Linked DNA regions of Lytechinus pictus. The protein of the gene in region 1 binds, or shares a complex with, the protein of each later gene. Links are inferred from orthologs where the notes say so. Each region holds a gene or a part of one and is shown on either strand. Other genes may lie near its edges.

Evidence for each region.
Region 2: general transcription factor IIF subunit 1-like (region 1) and transcription initiation factor IIA subunit 1-like share a complex: the UniProt entries of both Homo sapiens proteins name them as parts of the TBP-based Pol II pre-initiation complex. The link is inferred for Lytechinus pictus from reciprocal best matches to the Homo sapiens genes GTF2F1 and GTF2A1.
Region 3: general transcription factor IIF subunit 1-like (region 1) and DNA-directed RNA polymerase II subunit RPB3-like share a complex: the UniProt entries of both Homo sapiens proteins name them as parts of the TBP-based Pol II pre-initiation complex. The link is inferred for Lytechinus pictus from reciprocal best matches to the Homo sapiens genes GTF2F1 and POLR2C.
Region 4: general transcription factor IIF subunit 1-like (region 1) and general transcription and DNA repair factor IIH helicase subunit XPD-like share a complex: the UniProt entries of both Homo sapiens proteins name them as parts of the TBP-based Pol II pre-initiation complex. The link is inferred for Lytechinus pictus from reciprocal best matches to the Homo sapiens genes GTF2F1 and ERCC2.

What each region holds. Positions count from the first base shown.
Region 1 is NC_087255.1:31,039,416-31,047,337, reverse strand, and holds the start of general transcription factor IIF subunit 1-like, read right to left. Parts: upstream 3,013-7,922; 5' UTR 2,998-3,012; coding exon 2,888-2,997; intron 1,474-2,887; coding exon 1,401-1,473; intron 89-1,400; coding exon 1-88. UniProt on the Homo sapiens protein: TFIIF is a general transcription initiation factor that binds to RNA polymerase II and helps to recruit it to the initiation complex in collaboration with TFIIB. It promotes transcription elongation.
Region 2 is NC_087251.1:22,636,870-22,644,516, reverse strand, and holds the start of transcription initiation factor IIA subunit 1-like, read left to right. Parts: upstream 1-4,635; 5' UTR 4,636-4,749; coding exon 4,750-4,773; intron 4,774-5,137; coding exon 5,138-5,239; intron 5,240-7,631; coding exon 7,632-7,647. UniProt on the Homo sapiens protein: TFIIA is a component of the transcription machinery of RNA polymerase II and plays an important role in transcriptional activation. TFIIA in a complex with TBP mediates transcriptional activity.
Region 3 is NC_087246.1:61,220,093-61,227,750, forward strand, and holds the start of DNA-directed RNA polymerase II subunit RPB3-like, read left to right. Parts: upstream 1-4,637; 5' UTR 4,638-4,848; coding exon 4,849-4,934; intron 4,935-7,166; coding exon 7,167-7,285; intron 7,286-7,658. UniProt on the Homo sapiens protein: Core component of RNA polymerase II (Pol II), a DNA-dependent RNA polymerase which synthesizes mRNA precursors and many functional non-coding RNAs using the four ribonucleoside triphosphates as substrates.
Region 4 is NC_087251.1:46,649,558-46,656,906, forward strand, and holds the start of general transcription and DNA repair factor IIH helicase subunit XPD-like, read right to left. Parts: upstream 3,001-7,349; 5' UTR 2,884-3,000; coding exon 2,879-2,883; intron 1-2,878. Other genes in the region: protein CEBPZOS-like, read left to right, coding at 4,236-4,359, 4,962-5,006, 5,478-5,581. UniProt on the Homo sapiens protein: ATP-dependent 5'-3' DNA helicase. Component of the general transcription and DNA repair factor IIH (TFIIH) core complex, not absolutely essential for minimal transcription in vitro.

The DNA.
Region 1 (7,922 bases):
GACCAAACTCACTCCCTGCCCCAAACTTTGGGAGGTCATCGAGGTCCGTCTTGTAGTGGATCTTGTTGTTCTCTCGTTCCATCTTAGCCTAGAGAACGGTGGTCAAAGGAGGTATTGTGGAAGTTATTTGTCTATGTCTTCGGATTTAAAAAAAAACTCATTCTGAAGATGTACATGTAAAACAATCTAAACAATCTCCTTCAAAATAAAACAATCCAAACAAACTCATTCAGAAGATGTAAAACAATCCAAACAAACTCATTCAGAAGACGTAAAACATTTCCCCTAGCATGAATATTTAATTAATAGAAATATCCCAATTGTAGATAATTGTATATCTTGGAGTATGATATTAAGGGATGGTCCGGGCTGAAAATATTTATATCTTAATACATAGAGTAGAATTCACTGAGCAAAATGCCAAAAATTTCATCAAAATCGGACAACAAATAATAAAGTTATTGAAGTTTAAAGTTGAGCAATATTTTGTGAAAACAGTCGTCATGAATATTCATTAGGTGGGCTGATGATGTCACATCTCCACTTTCCGTTTTCTTATGTTATTACATAAAATCATAATTTTTTCATTATTTCATACTTGTGTGAAAAGTATGTCTCCCTTATAATTAAATAAGTTGCAGCAATAAATATCTAACGCACTAAATCAGTTGTCAATCCAATATTTCTAGTTCTTGGAGGAAAAAATTTGAATAAACCTAATTTCATATAATAAAATACAAAAGAACAGGTGGAGAAATGACATCATCAGCCCACCTAATGAATATTCATGATGACTGTTTTCACAAAAATATTGCTAAACTTTAAAATTCAATAACTTTGTTATTTGTTATCCGATTTTGATGAAATTTTCGTCATTTTGCTCAGTCAATTCCACTCTATCTATTAAATTATACATACTTTCAGCCCGGACCATCCCTTTAACTCTCTTGGCTTATGGCTTAAATAGTACATAGGAAGATGTTTTAATAAACAGTCAAACACTCTCATTCTTATAAAGTATCAATGAAAACTTAAACACTGGTCACTAAGCTTTTATAAGACTGGACTGTTAGAAATGACATGTCAAGTTTACATGTAATTTTCATAATTCACAACACCAGGGCTTAATCAATCGCAATATCATTGTTATGACAAGTGACCCTGTATTTGAGAGGGGGGGGGGTAGGTCACAAACATGTACATGTACAGATCTAAGTTTGACTTAAGATTGCACTTAAATTCCTAGTTGTGTGTGGTGTAACACATTACCTCATAGTGTTGGACATGCACTATCTTGTAAATGAGATGTTGTAGGTCAGTCAGAATTTCAAAGTTTGTGACCCCCCCCCCCTCCCCCTGATTGCACTCTCCACTAATTAACCATATAATTGCATGTGTACCTGCTTCCATTTGGAGAGATCAACATTGTCATTTCTATTGAATTGCATCACACTGTACTTCTTCCTCTGATTCCTGTGGAAAAAAAGAATAGTATAACTGTATAATGTTTGGCTTAGGGGCTTGAGGAGGGGCAAGGTCAAGGGCGGAGAGGGGGGGGGGGCAAAATACTTTTTATTTACAACCATGCATGAGAAGAACATAGGGCAGTGAACCCTGTGTATAAAGACAACTCAAAGTAGACAAGGAAAGCAGTCTTTACGAGCATATGGTCCTTATGGATAGGTTGCTATAATACATGTTTCAATGCAGAATACTATACAAGGAAAAAATAGAAGGTTGTGGTCTTTACAGGCATGTTGTCCTTCTATACAAGTGGTTGTTTAAGCAGGTTTGATTGTGTCATTAATATTTAGTTTTTAAATGGTGAGCTCCTAACTCAAAGTGGAAATTTGTGGAACATATTTGGACGCTAAAATGCGACTGAGGGTGAGGGGGGGGGGGGAGGGTACCCACACATTCCATAACAAACCTTTTCATAATCTATGCTTCTGGAAAAGCCTTTCTTCAGTATATAATCAAGTTTATTCCATTTCTTCAATATCTCAAGTTTTTTGTTCAATTGCTATATAGCCAAATCTAACATCCTACGTAACAAAATAAGCTTAACAAAGACAGTAGACATACGCTAATCTCCTATTTTCCATTGCATCACTTTAGCCTAATTTCAAACCATGTCAAAAACATGTGGTAATCCAGTGTATGTGTCCCATTGAGAAGTACAGTACATATTTCTATTGATGCCCTTTTTAAATGCCCTTGGATGCCCAAAAAGGTGAGTGCCACATTCCCTTTCCTTAAAAGTGCCCAATCAAAAATGACCTAGCCCCTTTTAAAGTTGAGCCCTGCAATTGATGGTAGGACCACACAGAAATTAGACCAATTTGATAATAGACCAAGTTTGTATTAAGAGCCATGATGGTGTCAGATAATTTGCAAATTAGAACATCTGCTAGTAGACCAAGTGGATAGTTGGATATAGAAGTCTTATTATTGGAGATGAAGGTGAAGAAGTGTGGTAGCATCAGTCAGTCTTGTTTTTTTTGTTTTTATTTACATTGTTCTTTGGGCCTGATGTTGCCATCATGATCTGATGAAAAGTGGCCAGTGACTGCCACATAATTAAATAATGTGACTAAAGTAATTAGAATTGGAATGGGCAGTCAACCCAAACCAGATATAGCCAGGGGCCAAAGCCACTTGCTCCTGGGACTGAAACAGGGTATTCCCCTTCACAGCTCGTGCATATGGATGCAAGCTAGGGTTGTCACCCCCAAATGGAGCCTGGCCAGATAGAAGCCAAGCTAGACAAGCGAGCAACTTTGACTTCTAGCTTCCTGTTTTAAGACAATGAGAGAAAAAAAGCTCATATGCAGGATACAAAATTAGGACTAATTAATAGTAATTGAACGTTAAAATGTACACTTACAGAGGGAATCTGAAATTGAATTCCTTCACATCTCCTGTATTGGGTCTAGTAGGTGTTGATAAGGATGACGAAGATGTACTCTGTGAATATGAAAAGAAAAATATATACATTATTTTCCCTTCAAAATTATGTACTTTACTTACTTGACAACACTAAACTTCTCTTTATAGAGATACTGTAGGGGAGATCAGTTTGGTTGGAACGCGGGGTAAGTTGAAACATTGTAATTTTCTTTAACGCCTTTTAATAAATTTATGCACTACTGCCCTCAATTTATTGCCATTATCAACTGCCATCCACCATATTACAGACAACACATGTGCAACAAGCCTGGTGAAGTTAGAAAGGAATTTTTGTTTTTAATTGCATGTAAAATCATGCGCACACAAATACGCGTAATCCTACTACACAGTCGGCTTGCGTGAGTGGCTGTATAATAGAAAACATAAAGTTCAACAAATCAGAATACACACCTTAAATTTTTTGAACTTGTAAAAAATAAAGCAAAACCATGTAATATAACAGTTGTAAGTAGAAGTATAATTCTTAATTGACCATGCAGTGTTCCAACTTACCCCGTATATGGGGTAAGTTGGAACGCTTGCGATGGTCTTGTTCAAGGTGGATTTTTTTCAGTAATCATCATAGAGTTCAAAAATTTATGGGGTACATTTGAAGCCCTTTATGCTTTAAGCTGATATATTGATTGTTTCTCAAATAAATTCTATTTGGATTTTACAGCCATTTTTGTCAAAAATGTTCCAACTAACCCCGATCTCCCCTATGCACTATCTTGTTTTCATTAAACTAAATCTTTCTTGGCCTAGACTGTGTCCTCCTTATTATTGCAGAAGGCTGGAATGAGGAGAATGTGGACAGAAGAGGAAACAAGGAAGAAGAAGACGTAGAAGAAGAAGAAGAGGAAAAGGAAGGAGAAGGAGGAGAAGGAGAAGGAGAAGAAGAAGAAGAAGAAGGGGAAGAAGAAAAAGAAGAAGATGTAGAAGAAGACAATGACGTACAAGAAGAAGAAGAAGAGGAAGTAGAAGAAGAAGGAGGAGGGGAGGAGAAGAAGAAGAAGGAGGAGAAGGGGAAGGAGAAGAAGGGGGAAAAGGAGAAGAAGAAGAAGAAAAAGATACAAGGACATAAAGGTAAACCATATCATATACCAACAAATTCCAATTAACATATTAAACAATATTCTAACTGTTGAAATTAATGTATACAATATTAAAGTTAGGGTAATCAGAAACTAAATTCACATTAAAAAAAGTTAAAACAACTTGTTTTTTTTCTTTTAAGAATAAAGAAATCATACTGATGTGTTACAGACATGTTCATGCAAGTGACTGCTATCATAATCTCAAACCTGCACAACTTGATAGCCAATTTTAAAAGAACAAAAATATCAAGAAAGTGCACATAAAACTTGATGTTTCATTGCTAACAAATCAAATCAGAGATATTTGACAAAGAATGAAGAAAAAAGGCAAATAAACAATGAATCATGATGAGAAAATAGGAAAGAGATATGCAATAATTGAATCACAGTCACTCAGTCATGAAGGTTATGTACAACAAGTAGGCACTAAGCACCAGTTTTAATTAATGGTATCATGTTATGGCATGACAAGTTCAGAAGGGTGTCAAATTCTTTGATCCCTTGCACTTGGTCGTATCTGATTTCTAGTTTGTATAATTTACCAATTTCACATGGATTCTGCATGAATTTTAAATAAACTATAAATATATACAGTGCTGATATCTGCCTTTACAGTTGTGTCAAGAGGCATCCTTTTCGTAGCATTTGTATTTAAGATGGATTTTAACCACAAGGAGTGTAATTTACTGCTATGTATCCTCTGTGAGGTAAGCATAAATCTTCTCCCCGCCCCCCCCCCCCCCCCCCCCGGAATCTTCTCCTCCTTCTCTTCCTTCCTATGTATTGGTGTGCAAGTGAGTAACACAAATGTTTCACCTGACAAGGTAATCTGTCACCAATTCCCCTTGTTTTAACACCAAAAAGACCCCGTTCTCATTCCAGTCCTGAAGCTAGTTTAGTGGAAACCAAATACTGGAAACTAGTTTAACAAGTAATGGGAACGCTTGAAGCATTCTTGGAGGATATCTTAAGTGGTCATTCAAACTGGTTTGGAAGACCCAAGACTCATTAACTACAATGTGGAGCGTTGTGGCCCAGTGGATTAGTCTCCGGACTTTGAAACAGAGGGTCGTGGGGTCAAATCCCAGCCATGTCATAGTTCCCTTCAGCAAGAAATCTATCCACATTGTGCTGCACTCAACCCAGGTGAGGTGAATTCCTTGAAATGCCGAGTGCTGGAAGCTAGCTGCTTGAGCTACAGCCGGGGTAATAATAACCAAGTCCTTTGGAAGCGCATAGAGACGTTATTTATGTGTTATGCGCTATACAAGAACTGAGTATTATTATTATTATTATGTATTTTCATGTACAGTTTACTTTCTCAGTTTATAATGACATTTCAAAAATTTAACTTTGGTTAAGATTTCAATGTTGATGACGCTGATGCCGTTCCCGCAGCCATTGCGAAAGTGGCAGAGGTAATAGTCTCGCTTAAATTGTCTTATTTTGGTATTACTGGAAAGTGCCATCTTGAATGACATCATCATCCTTGTGGATGTCTTTACCAGTCACAATATATCACAATTTGTAAGCGGGTGGGGGGTCCATTGGACAGCATCTGCAAGAAAAAATATAGAAAAAGGGGTGTTTCTTAGAGGTAGGCGCAAACAGCGAAAATTTGAAGAAAAAAAACAACCTTAATCACGTTGTAGTAGACCGGCCAAAAGTAAAAAAGTGCTCTAGATAAGGATTCGACGGCAAAATTTGTTAATGCTTGGCATACCAGCTAAAAGTCTTGCAAAAATACCCAGGAATAGCGTACGGCCAGATGCCAAGCGCAATTTTGCGTGAAAGTGTCATTTTTAGCGTAAAAACTGAAAGAATGTCGAAAATCACGCATTTTGATATTTTTATGGATTATCATCATATTTTTGGTTATCTTTGATATGGAATTATTTTTATTCAGAGTTTTAAATTATAAGTCTCATAAATATGCATTTCAAATTTGAATATTACACACACACACTTGGCACAGGGAAACATACAACCGCGATTTCCTCAAAATAAAAGTTTGTGAAAACTATCGATAGTTTGAAGTTTTTTTTACGCAGCTTAAATTCTTCGATTTAACTGCGTTTATCCATCAAATGTATAGTAAATGTCCTAATGTCACAAATATTAAAAGAATTTTCAAGTAAGATGGAAGATATCTCACTTTATGTTATCCGAAAGGAGACAATGTGCATTTTACCAGGTGCACATTTTGAAAGAAAAATTGAAAATACCGTACATTATGTACATAATTACATGTATAAGTACTTACTAAATTAAAAGCGAGTTTTTAATTACATGTATAAGTGCATTCTAAAGCGAGTTTTTAATTGGATAGCACAAGTTGTCAATTCTTTGCATCCCAGCTAAAAGTCTTGCAAAAATACCCAGGAATAGCGAGCGGGCGGATGCCAAGTGCACTTTTGCGTGAAAGTATCATTTTTTGCGTAAAATTTGAAAGACTGTTGAAAATCACGCATTTTGATATTTTGACGGATTATCATCATATTTCTGGTTATCTTTGATATGGAATTATTTTTATTCAGAGTTTTAAATCATAAGTCTACTAAATATGCATTTCAAATTTGAATATTACACACACACACATGGCACAGGGAAACATAAAACCGCGATTTCCTCAAAATAAAAGTTTGTGAAAACTATCAATAGTTTGAAGTTTTTTTTACGCAGCTTAAATTCTTCGATTTAACTGCGTTTGTCCATCCAATGTATAGTAAATGTCCTAATGTCACAAATATTAAAAGAATTTACAAGTAAGATGGAAGATATCTCACTTTATGATATCCGAAAGGAGACAATGTGCATTTTTAAATTATCAGGTGCGCATTTTGAAAGAAAAATTGAAAATACCGTACATTATGTACATAATTACATGTATAAGTACATACTAAAGCGAGTTTTTAATTAGATAGCACAATTTGTCAATTCTTTGCATCCCAGCTAAAAGTCTTGCGGAAAAACTGAGGAATAACGTACGGGCGGAGGCCAAGTACACTTTTGCGTGAAAGTATCATTTTTTGCATAAAATTTGAAAGACTGTTGAAAATCACGCATTTTGATATTTTGACGGATTATCATCATATTTTTGATTATCTTTGATATGGAATTATTTTTATTCAGAGTTTTAAATGATAAGTCTACTAAATATGCATTTCAATTTGGAATATTACACACACATATATGGCAATATGAAATATAAAATCGTGATTTACTAAAAATAATAGTTTGTGAAAACTATCAATAGTATAATGTTTGTGTTCCGCATCTCAATTTCGTCAATTTTAGCGCTAACCGAATAAATACATAATAATTGTTGTCATGGCACATAAAGTGAAAACAAATGTTGAGATAAGATGCAAGATATATCATTTTATGTTATATATGCGAAAGATAACAATGTACATTTTATCGGATGCGCATTTCTGATAAAATACAAACAGCGCACAATATTACATCTATATTGCACATACTAATATTAATCAGTGCGATACTCGTCATGATATTATAAAGGATTATGTTTACTTTTGTAGAGTTCGATCTTCTTGCTATTTCCGCGAATTAATTGGTGCTGAACGTAAATCTACCTGTGGCGATATTCATAAATAGGTCTGATATTTAATTTGCCGTTACCATGGTAACATTAATTTTGTAGGAATATCTATATCTAAAATCATAGAAACAGTAGCGTACCTAGGATTTTCCACAGGGGGGGGGGGGGCAAAGCCGTCGGCCAAAAAATTTGACAAGCAAAAACAAGGTCTGCAAGCTCGTCGGGGGGGGGGGGGGGGGGCATGGATACGTCTTTTGCATGGTTTGGGACTCGTCAGGGGGGGTGGGGCAGACTGCCCCCTCTGCATAGAAAAT
Region 2 (7,647 bases), on another chromosome or scaffold:
ATATCGGATACTTTATACCGAGGTTTTATACCTGACTGCTAAGAAAGCACGAATGCCTGTGAGCAAGCAACCAGGGGACCAACGGCTTAAGGTCCTCTCCGAGGGACCTGGAAATGAGGATAAATGCCTTACCAAAGGGCACTAGCGCACCATTTGGGAATCGAACCCGGGTCACCGGAATCCGAAACCCCCGCTCTACCGACTGAGCTATCGCGCCTCTAAAGGCTAACAGCAGAGCTGAAAGGGTCAATTTACAATCTAAAAAACAGTGAATTTACATTAGGTATGAGTAAAGTGTATAGAAATGTAGGTTTAATGTAGGTTTTCAAAACTTATCTCTTCCAATTTTGCATCTATCATGAAGATGACATAAAACATAAGGTAAAACACAATTTGACACAGCAGCAAAATATAAGACATGGGCCTAAGATTATGAAACGAAGTGTTGTAATGTCTGTTCACAATGTGCGCCTAGTTGTTCTATCACAACATGCCATAATCAGTGGGTTCTGTGCAGGCGCGCCGGAACACTTTCAGTTTTAGGGGGGCAAAATCCCGAAGGGGGCACAAGTATTTTTGATAGCGTGAGATACCGAAGCGATCGAGCGGGAGAGTGTGTGGGACCCCCCATGGTAAGGACTTTGTGTAAAAATGGAGTATAAAAGTTGCGTATCGAAGAGCATTCAAAAATAAATTTCTTGAGAATTAAACATAGAATTCACTACGAAAGACTATACTCATAATTTATGAGAACCTATGAAATCTACGCGCAAAACAATCGTTTCGGAATGTGGTTTTCATGTCTGATCAATTAAATTACGTATTATACGCTTATATTGACTCAAAATACCAAAAATTTTCATGCAATATCCTTTCAGAAACATAAGCGATGGCTTTCACTTCGCTCATGCTTTTGGAAAGCCTAAATTGCCTTTTTCCAGTTTGAAAACCCCTTCTTGCTGAAAACCTCTTCTTCTCTTCCACCACTAGGATTTTTTCGCAAGCACCCTTGTCGGCATATATGGCAAAATGCCGCTCAGGGCGAAACCGCCTGCCGTGATTGTCTTTCTTGAAGTTAGCTGAAGTAGACTGATTTGGGTTTTTCCTTTAAAGAACTTCGGTTTCTTGTCCCTTCTGGCATATGGCAGGGTTTTCGTGGATTGTGGAGGACTCTGGCAAACCTCCACTTGCTTGAGTTGACTTTGTAGTGTCCTTTTCCTCTTTTTTGTACTTTTGAAAAGTATGTTAGGAGTGATCGAGATCCTTTCGCATTGTCTTGGAGTTCTTTTTGCTCCTTCTGTTTCCTCCCGTTTCTTCATGATCAGGGTCGCAGTTCCAGCAAATGACGAGCCTGGCAAACGAAATTGTTTCAAACAAATGTAATATAGGCCTTTTAAAGACTTTAAGATGACAAACATGACCGTACGCAGCCGGGGGCCGCCGATCGAGAGGGCAAAAATTCATTGAAAATTCACCAAAAGTGTGCACGAAATCCTTCAATTTTATTCTAGAAAATGCAAAAGCTCCCCCATCACAAACCCCCTCGCTCTTAAGTTTCTTTGAAAATTTAGTTCTTGCAGCCCCACCCACCCCGGATTTTTTTATATTTTTGCATACGTCCATGAATAACAAAAGCTGGGATGAACCAGAGAACATAGCTGCCTCTCGATCTGATTATATAGTAACAGGTAATGGGAAGGAGTTTTGGAATCTAAAATACAAAAGTGCTATATTATCATATGAGCTGAAATAGTATCAGACAAAACGCCTGCCAATCATGCCAATGAAAAGGAATCGAGGAAAATACGGGACTATGAAAATATCTTAAGATTTTTATAGTAGAGCAGTACTGTAACGCTTATTTTTCTTTTATATTCTTTATTTACATTTTTATTCATATATCTCGGATAATATGAGTCAGATCAAGTAGACACTTTCATAGATGATTTTATTTTTTCATGCATAAGCATTATCTCTAAGTTGCTTTCGAGTGGGATTCACCATTTTCACAAATTATAATCCTCTACACATAATTATTCTGTGTGTAATTTTCTGATAACATGTCTATATTGAGTTGAAATGACCTTGGTATTTTCTTTAGGGCACTGACTTGTTATCATTGTATTAACTCAATTCATATTTAGTTGAAAATGAAATAATTGAAATAAGTTTTCATAATTTAAATCTATATCTTTATCATCTACTTACTATTTCAGGGATGACTTCCACAGGCAACAAGTATATGAGATATTGACGACCTCGAGATGTTATGGTTTCTGGGCTTAACAGCTATGACATAGATTCCATAATGTTGCTCGAGTAACTAGCGTTCACGCGCGTTAAGGCCACCGCACACCTTATACTGTTCGCGATCCGATTTTGGAACAAATCGCATTTTGCTCATTTTCTGAAGATGTGAATGGAACATATCACTTTATTTGAGGTTAAAATTAATTGAAAAAATAATCTTATAACCATTTTGAAAGATTGCAAGCCTTTATTTTGAAGTAAAGGCCAAATTAGTTTCAAATCGTAGCCAATCATACGACTGCTATGACGTCATTACGACTAGATATTAAATTCTCTTTTATTCTAAGATGATAATATAGTCACAGATTTGATCATAGGTATTCGTACGATGATTTATGACATTACACAGTAAGACATTCCAAGTCTCAATATTAGCATCAAATTCTACAACATTTTATTCTGAAATCGGGTCGCAGACCAGTCGTAAGGTGTGCGGTCGCCTTTAGTGATATCGGGTCCGGTCTGAGCGTTTGGGCGACCGCGCGTTTGTTAGCCGACACAGCCAGCATGCATTGGTGAACCACTTTCAATTTGCCATTCGGTTTTAGTCTGAAATGTATTCATTAAAAGGTTAAACGTTATCACACTGTAATAAGATAGAAAAGGGGTTTATCAAAGGTATGTTTCACATGCAGAGGGACATCGTCAAAAGACGCGAGGCTTACTATGATATGTAATAGCCCCGTCATTCATTTTTGACAATGGAAATTACAATTTTTAGGCAGAAAAGTGCCTTCATCGTTTACTTTTGTCCTTAAATTATTTATCATTTTCTACTTTTAGGGGGGTACATGGGGGGGGGGGGGGAGCAAAATCTCGTTTTGCCCCCCAAAAATTTTATTTGGGGGGGGGGGCAAGTGCCCCCCCCCTGCCCCCCCGCTTCCGGCGCCCTTGGTTCTGTGTTCGATTGCCACCGGGTCAGTAGTGGTAAAGTGACCATAGATGCACCTTGTTTCCCGGAAGGAAGCGAACGCCAATGTATTGGCTAGTTGCTCGTTGATCATAGAATACTCCCCTAGCTAGGGAATATGCATATACACTGTATTAAAGTGGCAAGCCATATTGACCATTATACTAATCTGTATATGCGCATCAGAAGGCTCGATCATCGATGTGATAAGCGCAATAAAAGTGGATTTTGAACAACCAAATCGGTAAAGGTTAACTGAATGTAAATAAAATCTTTGTTTCAATTTCTGTTTTGAGGAATCATTTTTTCATGTTAAAAAGAAAGTACACCCCCAACAGTTTATTTGAATGAAGATAAAAAAAATCAAACAAGTAGAAACTTCATCGAAATCGGATGTGAAATAAGATAGCCATGACATTTTAAGGCTTCGTTTATTTTCCAGAAATAATTAAATTCACCATATGCACATAAGTGAAAGAGTCGATGGTCTCACTCACTTACTATTTCTATTGTATTTTTTGTACGATATCTCAAATTTTGCAAATTTTTTCAATAAAGGAACCCTACATCGAACATCAGCGTTAATTCCACATTTTCAGGGAGGAATCAAACTTTGTTTCACAATATAATGAGGAGAAAATGAAAACATTCATATTTCATAAAATAATAAATAGTGAGCGGGTTACACGATCAGGGGAGCGTTTCATCAGCATTTTCATCCGACAACTTGTCAGATCTGACAACTTACCTTGATTTTTGATTGGCTGAGAAGCAATATTGCTATGGCTACTGTCAGATAAAAACAAAAATCTCCAAGAATCCTCATTTATATACTGACCAGGATGTACAAATACCTTGTTTGTTTGATTTTATCCTTCTTCAAATCATTTTTTTTGTGAGGATAGACCATTGTCCTGTAAGGGATAGAGATTTATTTATTCACCTGCATGAACATTAATTAGAAACGAGGTGTTGCCAAGGATTTCACTGCATTGCGGATGAATGATTTGTATATTTTCAAAAATCAAAACTACCTGCTAAAAATGGTATATTCGTCATTCATTGAGGCATTTATTCCAAATTCGTATTCTTCATCAATTGTCATATAGCAGACGACAAACTAGATAACGGAAGCAGACGATTTTTACATACAAGGCTATTAGCAAATTATGAAAACAAAACTCTATTATGAAAAAAAATATTGACTTTTTGATTGTATATTATTACTAAATGTATAAAAACTAATTACAATTAACCAATTTTGTTGTTTTATACATGTAATGATACATTATATTTTCATTAACTTGAATAGTTTTGAACGAGGAGTTTTAATAGGGGGTATGACAATTCCTTCAATTTGCCGCTCCCCTATAGGTGAAAAAGAGAACTTGTTGACGAGTATAAAAGCCACGAGCGACAGAGTTGCAGTGGCTTCGGTGGAGCCGAGACGTGAGGAGAGAAGCGTACCTGTACTCTTTTTTTCAACTCTCATTTCATCAGATCTGGACCTTTTCTTTTGAAATTTGAAAATGGCTTCTAATTCTCAGACTGTGGTGAGCCTTTATGGGATTAATAAGAAAATTCACGGGGAAAAATATGTGTTTAATTAAATAAATTGTCTTTTTTGAAAATGACTGTCTATGAACCGAGTCTGATTTTGATTAAAATAAAAAATTTCAGTAAATATTTAGGGAGATAGGTCAGACTCAGTCAGAGGACGCATCCTTCTTGACGAAATTTTGACGTCAGATAATAATATAATAAACAAAATTAACGACAGATTATTGGATGAATTGGTAATCGATGATCATGGTTTGCAGGGGTTTGTCTTTTTTTCAATAATTTCCTGATAATGTAGATCTATTCATCATATATATTTTCAGCCTTCCCTAAATTCTCTTCTTTCGCATTTTACAGCACAAATTGTACAAAAGTGTAATCGATGATGTGATTAACAACGTTCGAGATGCATTCTTGGACGAAGGAGTGGAGGAAAATGTTTTGCAAGATCTGAAACAGGTAAGAATACGCTGCCTGCGCCTGTTTGAACATTCTGCCAGTGGCAAAATATGTACAAAGCTGCTCTCGTTCTTCTGTACATGTACCGGTAGTGGTACTGTGATAATCGCACAGAAAATATTTGCAATGGCAATGCATATTACACGTCGATTGAGAGGACTGATGTTCTCTCAAGAGGGGCTTTTTCGGATGCCTCTTTTTCGTTTTTGCCAACTCCAGCACGATGTATAGATTGTTCAGAAGATCCCCTACCCTAAGAACAAAATTTCCTCTCTTTTCGACTCCACATTCTGTTTTCCCACTTTCCGATAAATCCTTATTTGTAGGAACCATTCGCGCCCAATTGTGCGGTGTGTCACGGCAGCGGTCTCGGCGTGAACTGCCATCTTTACAGGAGCGCCGCGACCTCTTGTTAGGGTTCGATTTGCATATGCCCATGTATTTATACTGGAGCCTCATTTGACTACAGATCGCCTTGCAGCCAATGACATTCGTGTATTTGGTTGAGTGACCTTAGGTTTTTATACATATTCATGAAGTGGTATTTAGTGAACCAATGAATATCCGCCGGTGCCCTGACTCATGCATAAAGAAGCTTATTGATCATATGTCTTGGTAGTCTTCGTGTCTATTCTCTTTCCAGACCCTTTGAATTACCGTTGAGGTTGGATAAAATATGAAGCAAACAATCAGAGGATTGCTATTTTGTTTTCAAGCACATCTTTTGATATTATTTGAAACCTAGTTTTTAGCACACTATGCAATCATTAATCACTATTGGAATATTTATTTTTGAAAAAATTAAAAAAAACTTTAGAAATTATGCATGTGTAAGACAGACAAGTTTAAAATAGAGTCTCTTTGAATAAACTACCATTTGATGTCATTCATGCTGGACTGGTGAAAACTTATAAATGACCTGTTTCAACCATTCTTTTTTTGAGGGATTTTTTTTTTTTTTTTAGAACTCAATGAAAAAAAAATTGCCAGGTGTTATTTCTTATGTCTTTCATCAAATCTCTAGTCAGAATAGAGATACTGCCCTCTTCATTTTCCCCCCTTTTTTAACTTTTAGAAAGTTCTTGGTCTGCAGCCAGGTTTGGGCTTGGGGGGGGGGGGGGGTGGGGCTCCCTGATGCTTCCTCTCAATTAGCTTGGAATAAGTCCATATTTATTGTAGTTTGGCGAAAGCAAAAAAAGAAATTTAAATAGGCTAAAACAGGCCTATTGGGTATATGAGATGTGCCGCTGGGAAGGGTGAATTTTTCAAGAAAAATCCTTAGACATTAACCTCCCGTTTTCATAAAAAAGATCTTTAGACATGATTCCAATTTCCACAAAAATAATCTGAAGACATGGGGTCACTAATTTTTATATTTCCCACGTTATTTTGTCTGAGATTTAGAACTGTGTTTGCTCCCAAATGATGAAATATGCAGGGCCGAGTCAAGTATGCCTAAAAAATATTCATATCCACAGAAAATGAATAGTACATTACATACCGTAATTTTTGTCCCAATGATCAATTTGTCTGGTATGGCGCAATCAGATAATTGGTGCTGTATAATATATGCTTCAGTTGGTGCGGGTTTGAAACTCACCAAACACTTTCAGAATGTTTAGAATTGAATTATATTATATTGCACCTGAAATGTGTTAACATTAAAATTCAAATTCAAACATGGGTCGTCTTTTCACAGAAAATCCTTAGAGATGGGTGCCTATTTACGGCAAAAGAATCCATGGATGTGGGTATGGGTTCAGGGGTCTCACTTTCACACCCCCCCCCCCCCCGAATTTCGACTCGTCTCTTCTTTTTTTTACTTCCAATTTTAATATTTAAATGATGAATAATCTATGATTTTTATGAAATTAGTTTTAAATATTTTTTTTAAATAAGTAATAAACAAAATTAGGGGATTTGGCATAAAACAGTAGCATAGTCTGCATGATTTGTCCTTAACTTGAATAATTGCTGGAGCCAAAGATTTGTTTTTCAGACCAGAATATTCAGAACATGTTATTTACATCTTCTAAGTCATACAGGGAAAAACTCATTCCAGCTTACAAGATGTAAAATAGGTAACATACATGTACATGTACCTGGGAATTAGTGGCAAAGTACCTCATAAGGGCATAGTTCAAAAGTGGGGAAACCTTGAAGCTAATGAGGGTTTCCTGAATTAACAAATACTTTTGTTTGTTGATGTAATCATTTTACAATATTATTGTATCAATATTATAATAGATTTGTTCTAATCATTAAACTATTTTATCATGATTATCATTATTATCATCATCATTATCATAAAGTTTCATTATGAAAAAACAACTTTCCTGTTTCATTTTGGTTAATCTTGAGATGTCTATTTTGCTTTGCAATGATTGAACAGATATGGGAGGGCAAGC
Region 3 (7,658 bases), on another chromosome or scaffold:
CTCGCATTATTGATTTTCATGATGAAAAATGAAATGTATTCAGAATGCCCAGATTCTGTCTAAGTCTAAAACACGTGCACGCATGTTTATTAAGATACGCTTCTTGATCTTATTCAAAACGTGCTAAAATTATCCATTTTCAGATCAGAATATAAAAAAATGTCTGCTCGCACTTTGCGCTCGCATTATCAATGTAGGAAGATACCAAAAACTACCCATCATTTTTCATGAGTGACAAAACATGAATCGAGTGTCCCGTTGGGGGTTTGAAATCTAATTTTTTAGGTTGGAATATCAAAAATGTTCAGCTCGCGCTTCGCGCTCTAATTATTTAATCGTTGAAATATGTATCGTCTTAATGGCTAACTGCAAAACTTGCTTAACAGGTCCCTTTTCGACCAGGCCAGAACGCACATTAAAAATTTCTGCTCGCGCTTCGCGCTCGTAGTAATTATCTAGTTACATACGCATCTTGTTCAGGTTCACAAACATTGCCCAGAATGTTCAATTTTCAGGTCAAAATACATGAAATTTAATTATTTTTTTATCTCGCATAGGGCTTAAGAGATTATTGCACATTCATGTTGTTTATAAAGTAAAGCTAGGAAATGACTGTTAGGACATGGGCGTTTTGCCCCCCCCCCCCAAAAAAAAAAAAAAAAAAAAAAAAAAAATCACGACCAAGAAAAAAAAGAGAGAAAAGGAAAGGGATTATGGTGAAATATAATAAAACTTTCCAAATATATCGCGCTTCGAGTTATCATTATTTATTTAGGCCTTGTGAGATACCTCAATGTGTTTTTAAGAATAAAATTTCGTAATTTCTTTAATTTCTACCCCCCCCCCCATTTTATTTATTTATTTTATCTTCATGCCCTCTACAAAAGTTCAACAAGCCCCCCCCCCCCCCCGTGCAACCCTGCTGAATAAATCACAGCTTCGCCACTGATGAGGAGATTGAGTCGATTGCTTCGAGATTGCATTATTCCCAAGAGGTTATCATTGATATTATTGAAGGCTATTCTAAACAACTAGTAAAGAAACTACAGCTCCCGTTCACACAATATTCTAGTAGGGCCTACTCTGGTGAGAAGTTAAACCAAATTGAGACCCCCAAAAATCGCTCGCGCTTCGCGCTCCCATTGATATTACATTATATTTTCATGGATTTTTTTTTTCAAGAACACATTAAAAAAGTGGTCTTTAATTGCCTTTTTTTTAATGTGATTATGTAATAAGATAATTCAAAATACATTTAAGGCATTTAAGTTACATTTAAGTTAGCCTGGCCGGGAGGGAGGGGGCGCAATTTTTCAAAAAGTACACATGGGCGCCAAAAATCAGGTCAAATTTGGGCCCCCCCCCCCCCCCCCCCCCTCCCCACGAAATCTTGGATCCGCGCCTGTCAACAGCCATAACGGCAAAGTATGTGCAGCACAAGCAATACCAGATGCTGACATCAAATTATGTGGTTATGCCAGTGATGGCAAACATCTAGGCAGATCGTTGAGGCATGTGAGGCATATGTCAGTGCGACGGTTATATTAACCCTAAAAGGCTTCGCGCAATATTTCGGAAACGCAAAAAGATAGCGCCGCACTTATGACTTTTTTCTTGTCTCACGCAACTTCCGAAACCAAATTCGCGACATACGGGCATAGCATCGCGACGTCACGTGACTTTTTACGAGACAATGTCGATATGGCAGTTATTTTATCTTGCCATGTTGACATAATAGCCTAATTATGTCGACATGACGAGTTATTTTATCTTGCCAGCGAGCAGAATTTTTCACATTCCGATCTGAAAACTGGACACTTTAAGCACACTTTTCAATAATAAGACATAATTTGAATAAACATAATTTCATGTACAAAAACAAAAGAACAAGTTGGGAAATGACGTCATCAGCTTGCTTATTGAATATTAATGAAGATATATATGCATAGAACTGTTTCACCGAAATAATGCAATTCTTTATTATGATATATTAACTTCTTTATTCCTTGTCCGATTTTGATCATATTTTCAGTGTTTTTTTTTTCTTCAAAATCATATTATTTTTAGCTTGGAGTACCCCTATAATGCATATGCAAATCGCTGAAAATGATTGATATAGGCCTACTTACATGAAAAGTGGATATTTCAAACACTGTTCTTTGGAGTTTGGGAATTAAATGGGTTACACACCTCGCTAATCAAATATTATTCAAGACTTTTGGGGGCTGTTGGCAAGCGGCGGGGTTCCGCGGAATCCAGGAATTAACCCCCCCCCCCCCCCGGCTACGGCCCTGTTTAAAGAGGAAGTTCACCCTGAAGAAACCTTTGTTGTAAAAATAGCAACAACAACAAATATTGGTGAAGGTTTGAGGAAAATCCATTAAAGATTAAAAAAGGTATTATAAGTTTTTGATTTGTGACGTCATAAACGAGCAGCGACCCCATATGTTATGTAATACATGTATAGAATGCATAAATTTCAAATTTTAAATGGTTCGTGATAACCATTTTTTTTCTCTTTAGGAACAGGTGTGAAATAATATATCTATTGATATACTAAAGGTATACAGTAAAAACCAGCATTTTCAATTTTTTGAGAAAATGACATTTCATTGATTTTTGTTACCATACGATATGCAGGACAGCTGTTCGCATATGACGTCACAAATCAATTGATCAACATTTTAATAACTTGTTCATTCTTCGATGGATTTTCTCAAACCTTCGTCAAAATGAATATCTTTTATTATCTTTTCTGATTTTTTTAAATAAACTTTTTTTTCAGGGTGAACTTCCCCTTTAATCTTCAAAAAATTAAGCATGGTTGTTCAGACTGTTAAACATTTACTTAGCCGTAGGCCTAAACTCCCCTAAACTTAGTAAATAGCTTTGTATAAGATTTTAAACAGCGATTTTACTGTATTTATGAATATTATTTTAAGCATATCTTATATAATGCATCTAATTATTTATTAGAAAATTTAACATCAGTAACTTACGTGACAAGATAGCTTCTCTTGCTCCTTACGAAATTTTCTGAAACATTATCTAAGAAGTAAATGTATGAATCTTTCCTATTACCATTTATTACAGGGGCCGCGTAAGCGGGGGGGGGGGCTGGGGGGGCTTAAAAATTACCATATGATTGTGATTTTTTGCATGGTCAGCCCCCCCGGCACTTTGAAAACCGTTCCGCGGCCCCTGTTATTATGTAAACCTCCCCATTGACACGATGTAAAGCCCCTGATGTATTTCTGTGGTGTGCGAGCGTGTGTACGTGCGTATGAGGGAGAGACAGAGGGCATTAATCGTGTATTCTGATTGAACAGAAAAAATGGAGGCTGAAGCCCCCCCCCCCCCCCCCTCCAGATTCCGCGGCCCCTGTAGAATTGGCTCCAATTACTCTGGCCCGAAAGAAACTGTTCATGCTGGCAACTTGAACGAAGCGTTACTTTCTTTTTTAATCTGTAAAATTCAATATTTGAAAAATAGGCCTTGAACTACAAAAGTGTGGAAATCGCTGAAATACTACATTTGCTTAAATTCCAATGTCTTACGGTCTATGGACTAATTACCCGAATTCGAGCTTTCAAAATCATGGACCTACTCAAAATGGGCCTATCGATGAGAAGCAGTCCATGACTGAAGAAGTACCCTCATCTGGGTGGAGAATACAACACATTGTAGATCGATTTCTTACTGGAGGAAATTATACGCAATGGTTGGGATTCGAACCCATGACCATGTTCATCAGCGCCCCTGAATTTGGATAGAATACTAGTTGAGAGCGGGTTTGACCCATAGAGATATATACTAATAACGCAAACTAGTAATATATCTCTATGGTTTGACCAAAATCACACTAATTTTTGAGTGCCAAAACTTTTTTTTTTTGCTTGATTTTTTTTAAACCAAAATCAACTTTGATTTGGAGAGAAAACCTTTTTTGGGGAGTTGCTTAAAAAAAAAACCAGCATGATCCTATCCTCATTAAAAAAATTCCTAGACCACCCAGCTGCCCACGATCTCCTTTGCAAAGTAGGCCACAACACTCCACAAAATGTGATAAAAATAAAATTAACGTCTTTAATTCCGTCCACTATATATATTTGCGGATCGAAGTTGCATGAGGCATGTTCCTAATTATAGCGGCTGGCATATATTAATAAATCACAATTGGTAATCATATATTTTTTTACGGAGCATAGCTCTCAAAAATGAAAGATAAAATCACACTCTTCGTCAGGGCCCATGGGGTGACAAAAAGATTTATGCCCGGTGAGTAGAGGTCCACTCGGAAAAAAAAGACAAAGCAACTGAACTAGACGAAGAAATGCAAAATCAATGTAATGAAATACACGTCTTTCAATGAATGATTTGGATCTGGATTTTAGGCTATAGGGCCTATATTTCATGCTCTTTGGGATGGCTCTTTTATTTTTTTTTTTAATTTATTTTCATTTGTTTGAAAAGATATCATTTTTCAGACTGAATTAATGTACCCTTTAATGTGAAAACTGCTATTTCAACTAAGAAAATCATAATAATAAAAAAAAAAACATTGGATGAAACACTCAAAACATGCCAGGCCCATGCCAGGACAGCTTTAAAAAAAACTCCATACAGGTGGTATATTGTAAAGGCGTACGTGTTGCAAGAAAACATATTTGCAAATATTCTGTAGCAATTTTACATTTGATCAGTTTTAGTTTCTTGCAACGCCCGACTCGCGCAAAATCAAAATTCGCCACCATTGATTGCCAATCGCGTTCCATACTCATTTTTATTCCGACTCCGAGGACCGACAATCAAATTTCTGATAAAATCTTACAGAATTTGTCTAGAATTATGCCTTATGCCAACCAACCAACGATACAGTTAACGGAGCTGACTGATGACAATGTGAAGTTCATAATCGAAGACACAGATCTTAGGTAAAATTCGTTTATAAAGTCAAAGAGTAACTTTTAATGTCATGTGTGACTTGAGCTGTGCGAGTTGGATTAGCACGCAATGTCAATTGGGTTGAAACGAACAGGGTTTTTCGGTCGTGCTGCTCACTCAGTGACTCACACGTATTGCGAGGTTAGTCCTTAACTCTTATCTTAAGGCTTTAGTATACTAACCTCGCACCCACTCACACGTATTGCGAGGTTAGTATGCTATAGGCCTACAAACCTTGCACGACGTATCCGTACGTGTCTACGCAGTCGATATTTTACTAGTTGTCGGTTAACATCGCTTCATATTAACGGGAATAATGTTAGCCAAAACTAAGTCAAAACTCATTCCGCTACTCACCACTGACACCACTTTTTCTGGTGACGGGCGTTCCATTTTCATTTTTTATATTTTTAATATACAAAGCACATAAAAAAAGAGCAAAATCGCTTACCTCGGCCGGGGAAGTGGCTTGCCTTTGCATGTCTCTTCCATCAGTCCATGGAAATTAAAAGGAAGGTCGTTGGTGGCGCTAATAGTAATAGTAATACAATTCACAACCTTATTTCAGCTCGTCTGTATTTTATAACTAGAAAAAGTCTAGATTCATTGTATGCGAAATTCCCATGATTGTTTGATAAAATATAGACACCAATAAATGCAATAACTTAAAAAACATACTTTTCAGATTACTTTTGCTGACACTAATACTTTTTGGAAAACATCCAAGGCCAAGCGATGACAAATTAAACAAAAAAATAGAAAATTCTAGGCCTACATGCCTTGAACGAAGCCAGCAGTGCTACCGTTCGTTTGTCAACGAACATTCCACCGAAGTCTTTACAATAAAAAGATTGGACACTTTGCCGACTTTGCATAACACTTTGCATGTAAATCGCACGCCCTCTTTAGCTAATTAGACAAAAAAAATCGGAAATTAAAAGACGGATCCATATTTTATCAACGAGAAGAGAAATCAGCGCTTAAATGACTCGGATATTTGTGATATTAGGGGGAATTGACTTTACATCGTTCGGTAAGTTTCGTAGAAGGACTTGATTTTATAAAACCTCTTTTTAATTATATTTGCGGGATTGCCATGCAATTGTTGCAATTTTGCATGCGCCATGCCTTCAATTTTCCTGTACACGGTGCGTAATGCACCCATGGGTGACATTAGGGCTGTTATCGATAACGTCTTTATCGATAGTCTTGTCGATAATCGCTTGTTTTTGCCACTTAGGGATATCTATAACGTTTCTCTCGTCAATAATACCCAATATTATGTTTGGACTCAGTGATTTTCCGCGATTTCACAGAAATGGCCTTTTGAAAGTGGCTTTTCAAACGGAAAATCACGGAAAACATATTTTTCCTCAAACTGCACAGTCACAGAACAGCAACAGAAATTACTCCAAAATCTTAACCAAATATGAATGCTTACTAGGCACAAAACACGATCTCACCCCCACTTCGCTATAATCATGTAAAAATATTTTTTAAATATCATCATGGAGTCCTTAAGGCTACATGTAGCAACCACCCTGCCTGTGTGGAAAATCTACATGACATGGTATGCCAATGCAGTACAGAGCACATACATAAATAATTAATTTAAAAAAATTTATTGTAACCAAAAATACTAATTTCCATAGTAATCATGGTAATACAGTTGCAATTTATTTTATTAACCTTGCCCGTACCATTTTTATATTCACTAAAGTTAACTTAGGACGCTAAAAAATCTATTTCTAATTTATAAAAAATAATTAAAAGAATTCAATTTACTTAAGAGCCAAGTTTATGATGAATAGCTGTATTGGAAACTGACTGTCAAAAAATCAAGTTTTTGTCCCCTAGAACAGGAGAAAATACGCCAAACATTGCCAACCTTATTTCACCACACAGGGAGTAACAGAGAACAATGTTATATCATAACCTTGTTCATTGAATGAGTGCATTGCCCCAAATCCCAAAACTAATCTACTGTAGAGTAAAATCCCCCATATCAGATGCTTAAGCATAATTGGACCAAAAAAATACAGCGCTAATGGCTAATTATACAGTTTTGCACCGGCCGACCTTGCGATGTTACATTGTAGGACACTAATTTAAGATTTTCACCTCAAATTTTGTCCGTTGATCGATCGATCCCACTCATTCTTGACAGTAAACAAGGTTCTGAAGTACTCTTTTCTTTTTCTTTTTTTCTGTATTGACCACAGTGTTGCGAACAGTATCAGGAGGACTATGCTGGCAGAGGTTCCCACAATAGCAATTGACTGGGTAGAAATTCAGGCAAACAGCTCAGTCCTTCATGATGAATTTATTTCTCATAGAGTTGGTAAGTTCTTAAGATAAGATTTGCCAGCCCTAAATTCCCAACACTGAACATATTGAAATCCTGGATGTAAAATATTAAAGAAAAGTTTAGTGAAAGAGCACGCAGTCAGTGACCAAATGGGAGAGTGTGTCTTATTATTATTTTATTCGGCACTTCATCAAAAACAAGACAGCATGTACAATGCAGGATTGAGAAATAGTACAAAAATACAAATAGTTTTTAGACCCTTTCTCACCCAACCAGGTAGCCTGGGTAGGGAATAGGTCAACTTAATGGCCATGGCCCACAGGCCTTCCCTCCCACACCCGATTGGGTGAACAAAGATCATTACATAATAGAGTTACAAAATGGAATAACATGATAGTATAAGACA
Region 4 (7,349 bases), on another chromosome or scaffold:
ATGAATATGCATGAAATTGCTGAATCTCAATAATTTTTTATTGATACTGGAGCGATCCGATCACGAACCAAGACCATTTCACGCATAGACAATGTGACCGGATATCGTTATCGAAACTTCCGCACGCGGTCCAAAGGAATTATTTTGGCGACCACGTAGTCATGACGTGATCTGCACAATGGACCAATCAGCGGTCTCCAAATCGCTGTGAGGAGATGGTCTATCTGTTGTACACAGACAATGGACAATTTGCCACTGCGCTGTACCTCCCTGACCCTGTACTCAAGTACTTCCCAGAATTTAAGTTTCTCCGGCCAGTATTTCTCATTTGACTGGCAGGAAATACCTAAATTTTCTGGGAAACTGCCAACCCCGAATTGAACTTCTGGAAATAAGATAAGTTGCCTCAGTTTTAGGGGGAGGGGGCTGAATCAAATTATCAATGTCTGCAGTAACCTTAGGGACTAAGTCATTTATAAAGCAAGTTCCAGGATAGACCAAAAGCTTCGGTCTCTGTTATATTGGTTGTTCCGCTGAACTCTGTTGGCCGGCTCCACTCACCAATTACAGAGACCGAAGTTCTAACACGATCTTTACAAGGACTCAATGGTCATATGTTTATGTATTAAGTTCGAATAAACCAGGGAAGTGGGAGTTGCGCTACAGCCGAAGTAAGTCACTTTTTTTTGGTCCAGTTCTTTTTATATATGTCGGGGGATTTCGCATTGTTAATCCCCTAATGGCGCGGCTGCACGATCGCGAGCCGTCTGTGTACAAGAAATAAAAAAATAATAAAATGTTAAAAAAACTCCTCGAAATAGACAGCTGCCAGCTTTCTAGTTCCAGGATAGCCACATCTTTAATGGCAACACATCAAGACCAATGAAGGCCAAGGATGTCCTGTTGACTGGCCTCATGGAGATTTGAATTGCCCCCTTTTCCTTTTCTTATTCAAGAAGAAATTATGTGGACGATGTGACCTTGTCCTCTCAAAGTATAAGCCTGACACATATTTCATCTCCTTGTTTGAGTCCTCAGAGATTAATAATAATAATTGGATTTATATAGCATTTTTTCCAGAGGATACAAAGCGCTATGGATGGCATAAGACAAGTTAAGGTTTATGGCTATATAAGTGTGTTTTGAGATGTTTTTTTAAGATGTCAAGAGAAGAGAGGTTTCGGAGAGATGGAGGGAGTTTGTTCCAAAGACGGGGGGGGGGGGGGGGGGGGGGGCAATAGATTGAAAAGAGTTGAAACCAGCCTGTTTTCTGGACTTTGGAATGACATAGGAAGGAGCAGCTGCAGAACAAAGAGAGTATGTAGATCTTTGTTGCTGAAATAGTGAAAAAATTTAAGAAGGAAGTGTGGTTGACAGAGATTTATAGGTTTAAACAAGTATTCGACAATGTATTCTATCAGAAACAGGTAGCCAATCAAGTTCATTTAGAAGAGGGGTACTGGGGTAGCTAGGGACAGTGATTTTCCGCGATCGCGGAAAACGGACGGAATTCACGGAAAGGGCCTTTTGAAACGGAAAGTGGCATTTCAAACGGAAAATCACGGAAAACATATTTTCCCTCAAAATACACAGAATAGCAACATAAATTACTCCAAAATCACAACAAAATGAGAATATCAAATGGCCACAAAACCCCAGAAAACACGATCTCACTTCGCTATTATCATGACAATTCACACATCGTGACTGCACTCGACATCAGCACACTCGATTGTACCCCGCACCGTACCCGTACCCGGCCGGCCGGGTTGGGCTTCACATATGCACACATATCGTTCAACTACACGGTCGTGTGTTGCTGCCCTCTACGTTTGAAGATGTAACAGCACGATATCGTGGTCTGAAAATCCAAGATGGCGGATTGGCAAAAGCCGTTGACTGATGATAACGATGTCCAAAAAACCCCAAAATCATCGATGAAATATCATTTCACCGTAAAATAATGCTAATAATGTGAAAGGTGAGGATGTATGCATGCTAAATGGGTTTGTAAAAATATTTTATGCACCCGCATAGATCCGATTAGAACGGATTCTATTGTGTTGTTGGTACAGTAGCAGATACAAATTTTGACCAGTGCGAGTGTACCTTAGTGTTGTGATTTTGCTATTCAATGTGTATTAAAAACGGAATTGTCACTTTTCCGTGTGTACAAAGTCTATGGGGAAACGGAATTTCCGTTTTCTGACATGCTGAAACGGAATTTGAGATTTTCTGAAATGGAAAAGGCAATTTTTTTAAACGGAAAATCACTGTCCCTAGGTAGCATGACAATATTTTGGTTTTTGACAGATTAATCGTGCACATTTGTTCTGAAGGCGTTGAAGTCTTCCAAGATACAAAATTTTGGGTGGAAAAAATCATGCTTTTGTTGGTGTTGTTTCTTTTGTCCTTTTGCAAAGCAAGTCTACAATATGGGAGATTGTCTCCCTCTTGGAGAGAGTCTCCCATATTGGCCGTGCGCCTCTACTGCCCAAGCAAGCAACCTTCTTTCTCTAGTCTAGCTAGATCTAGAAACTTCTTTCTCTAGAAAAATCTTAACTTAAGTTTTTAATAAATAGAAATAATCTATCATCCATTTCCCCAAATCCAGGGCGCAATTTTTGGAGAGAATGTACACAAAATTAAAGAGAGACAAATCACAACGCTACGTGCGCGTGCCGCAGCAGAGAGCGAGCGTACCACTGCCTTCATCCCAGCCCCAGTCTGTCGGACCAGATAAACCGAGGTTTCGCCCAATTCTCTCGCGTGGGATTTTTGGTAAACACACCACGTTACATCAATTCAAAGTTCAAAACTCAATCACAAATATCAAATTCAACAATGAATTAAACAATAGCAGGCAAGCACATCTTACTTCATTGCTACGTGACGCTCTTCTACTTGACTTTCGAGTTAAAATATGATGTAATTTACAGGATCTCTTTTTTAACTCCGTGATCCAATTCTAATTTTCGGAATCTGGCTAAAGGCTATGGGATGCCATTGATCCCATGCAAAATTGAGATTGAATTCATTTGTTAAGTTCTTCAAATTTTATGCATTGATCTTGAATAAACTATTTTAAGAAAATACGATTTTACTTCAATTCTGGACAAAATATTGAATTGAAATATTAAAATAATTAATTATAAGAGGGGTATTTTATATTACATATTTATTGTACTTCAAGCTTTCCATACATATTAAGGTATTGCGACGGTAAACGTGAGATTGCGTTCATCAATCTGGCGATTGGGATCTACATTTTAGGCGAACAAATATAATAATTTTATTGTTTTTCAGCTTATACTGCTTTGGTATAGTGAGGAGGAGACCAATTTCTTTCTTTTTCTGACGGCATTATATCGTAGATACCAAGTGAGGTAAATATATTGCATTCGCAATTTTGGGCCATATTAAGGCCAGGCAGGATAATGCGCAAGCCAAGGCTGTCACTCACTCCGGATTCGCCCCGCTCCGCAGCCAAGCCTAGGGTTCGGGGTTACCTCTCTAAGCTCTCCAAACTCGGGCCTGTGAAGCTGCTGGCGTGTGTACATAGTCATAGCAGAGATCGTGTGAACGAATGTAAATGAGTTACCAGTGAATATGTGAATGATTAATAAAAATTAAACTTCTCTTTTGCATCTTTCTGAGGAGTAAAGTTTCCATGCGAATATAACTGTTTATATAGACTAAATTTCAAAATAAATCTTTGAACAGCAAGGACAAGCGGGAGGGAAATAGAGATTGTTTTGTAAATTTGTATTGTCCACAATATGGAAATTATAATTTATGATTAAAAGACCATTGTTCAATCCTGTCCAAGCAATTCCTTGCATCTCTATACATCACTTTCCAATCCCATATTGCAAATGAAATCTGTATGTAGATCTAGGTCATAAAAAATTGTCTTAAATTGTATTGACAAGTATAAATCAGGCGCGAATCCAGGGGGGGGGGTTGAAGGTGCGTAAGCCCCCCGTAGGATTTTTAAAAATGAGACGAATTGACCTTACATATAGGTGAATAACTTTTTTTTTGCTTAATATTTTGGCGGACAAATTATTGACCTTAAATTTAGGCGACAACCTTTTTTTTTTTGGTCAAATTTTCAACGGGTAAATTATGGCACCCCTTTTAAAAAATCTTGGATCCTGTAGCACCCCGTGAAATTTTAAACTGGATCCGTGCTTGTATCCAATTTTCTTGTTATTTTCATTACCATTTCAGGCATGTTTAACTTCAGTAGTTCCGGTGGTCGTCGGCTGTGGACAGGTATGAAATGGGTCGTCTATGCTGAGATAGGGTTCTTTGGAGCTGCATACTATGTATGGCACAGGATGAACACTCAACAAGGTATTGTTACTCACCTTATACTATATAGCAACTCTGAAAATTGAACAAAAAAAGCATTAATAGTAAAACTGAAGACTTACTCATTTAACTCTGCATATATATAGTTTGATAGTGTTTTGTTTCTCTCTTTTCACCTGTGCATCTTGAACATTTATTAGATTCAATTGGATTTTGGAACCTCAGATATCACATCTATTATTATTATTAAAAATCCAGATTGTTCATTTCAAGTACATGCTTTTGGGGAGGGGGTAGCCTTTAGGCTAGTAGTCATCAAATTGAATTACTTGCCCCTGTGCCTAATCCGATTAAAAGAGTAAGTTAATGTATTGTGTTGTGTTTATTTGTTTATGTTATGACCTGTTCGGTGAATTGTTAAAGGTAGCAGCTTCAATCATAAACCATGATAATCATCAAATTGTGACTTTACGCTCTTTGCCCCCCCCCCCCCCCCACTTCAAAATTGTTCCACAGCCCCTGAATATGGCTAAATTATCATATTGCAAATAATTGCGCATCTTTTTATTGAAGTTGTTTTATCAAGCATTATATCGTATATCATTTATTAATGAATCGAGGCCTGTTTTCTCATTTATTTTCAGATTTTAGGAAATATATGCATGAGAGTCATCCCAAGGTTCTTGAATGTAAGTATTTTAAACAAGCAATTTTCACTGTGAAATAGAAGTTTGTTTTACCCATCAATAGATGGTATTTAATTTGAATGTGTTTATTACAAAGAAAATTGCTTTAATCTGAGTACTGGAGAGTATAAAACAAGATTTAGATTGCAGTCAATTTGAAGAGAATAGAAAAATGCCAATTAGACCAGTCACCCTTAATCATTAATAACTATTTATCTTGCTCATTGACACTTGATAAAATGTAGAATATATAAATGTTTATTGATGACATTGTGGAACTGCCCTGTGGTGCATTGACTTTATGTCAGTGATTTGGGGTATTTTATTGAACTATTTATTTAATCATGGTAAAACTCACATTCAGTCAGAACAGACTGCTTTTGAGCAAGTCTGTGTTTTGTGTGTTGAATGTAAAAGGGATATACTGTATGTTATGATTGAGTAATCTGATTTTGTCTTATATCTTCCTTACAGTATTCTACAAGGGGGCAGAATTCGGAGGATTTAAGGATGCGCGGCAGCAGGACTATGCAACTTGGGGCATCAGTAGTAAACAAACTGTTGATGAAGATTTATGAAACCTACTGAGGATTATTAAAGGACTAATACTAGATAGACTTAAAGTCTTCCAGGTTTACATTTGAATTGAGTAGCAGCATCAGATGAAATTGATCACAGAGGATCTATTAATGTGTCTGCCGCCCTCTACAGTCTGAAGAGGGTATTTCATGTTGGCTCCATCAGAAGTTCCACTTAGCAACACTCCTGAAGACTTGTTGTTATTATTTGTTCAATGTCTCCATACTTGCATGTCAATTTGCCTGTGGCAAGTGATCTGGGGTGTGTTTTGTTTACAAATTTGCTCTGAGCCAATCAGATTCAATGATTTTGGTAGCTTATAACAATTATCAGTGACAATCACTGACTATTGTTTCATGTAATGCTCCCCAGGGCCAGGTATTTGAACAGTATATGTATAATTATTTTACATAGGAAATGATGACAAACTTGTAAATATACGATATTTATACAAAATGTATCTGATCTCTGTATTGAGGAATATATTATATTAACAATTTCAAATGCATTCAAATTTCTGGAGCTCCCGGGCCCGGTTTCATAGAGACTAGCAACTATGGTAACTTTGCCATTATTCTTACTTCCGTCATCCGTTGAAAACTTGATTTTGATCTGCTATTGAGCCCTGTTACCATGGTAGCTGCCATAATAGCAAAGTTATCATAGTTATAACTCTTTATGTAACAGCCACAGAACATCCTTATCAGAATGATAAAGGAGTTTGATATGTTAACAAAGTTCACCCATTCGTTACTGTTGACATGAACAACATATTGTACTAATCGACAAACATGTTCTTTGAACTTCTTGAACATAATAGTGAAACATGCATGACATGTATGATTAGTTCTCAAGGAACAAAGTCGGGTCAATGATATAATGCTAGTTTTAAATTCATATTCATCTGTTGCATTATGTTTGATCATGTCATTCTTATGGTGATTAAATCTTTTCCAGAACAATTGAGATATCAGTCAAACGTCAATATAGTTTGCACATTGTATGTGTAGGTATTGATGAGAATTACTAATTGTTTTATTGCACAACTGGGATTTCCCTTAAAGATGAATATAAAATCATGACATCTATAAAAAAATAAAATAAAAAAAGCAGTGGTGCCAGGGTACTAGTTAAGTTGCAAAAAAATCCCTTTCCATAACAATTAGGATATCAGTTGAACATCATCATGGGTTGCTTGTTTTACACGTGGGTATTCACTTGATAAGAACTACTGATTGTTTTCTTCTGAAGGGGGAATTTCTGTGAAAGATAAAATGTAAAAACTATCAAATCAGCTGCTTGGGGTACTTGTCAAGATGACAGAACAATTTATCAAATGAATATTTGGAGTTAACAGTACCATGACAGGCAAGTGGGTTCTTTCTCAAACTCTTTTTTTCATTTTCTTCCCCTCTCCCCCTCTCTGTCTCTCTCTTCACAACATGTGTTTCTCTCTTTCTTTACTACTTTAAACATATAGGGGTGGTTGCTTGTCAGCCCTACCTGTAGATATGTTGCCCATTTATCAAGATCCTTATTTAAGTGGCATGTCTTGCCTACCCTAACTCTAAGTGTAATTTGTCCCTCACTTAAGTATCTTTTATTAAATGCATAAAATTTTAATAAATCACTTTATTAGTCAAATGTATTGAATTATTCTGCATGTGTTTCTGCATGTAATATACAGTGTAATACAGTGCATCCCACAAAAAACGAAACCAAGATTTTTCGATGATTTATCACAAATACAATAGATAAATGACATAC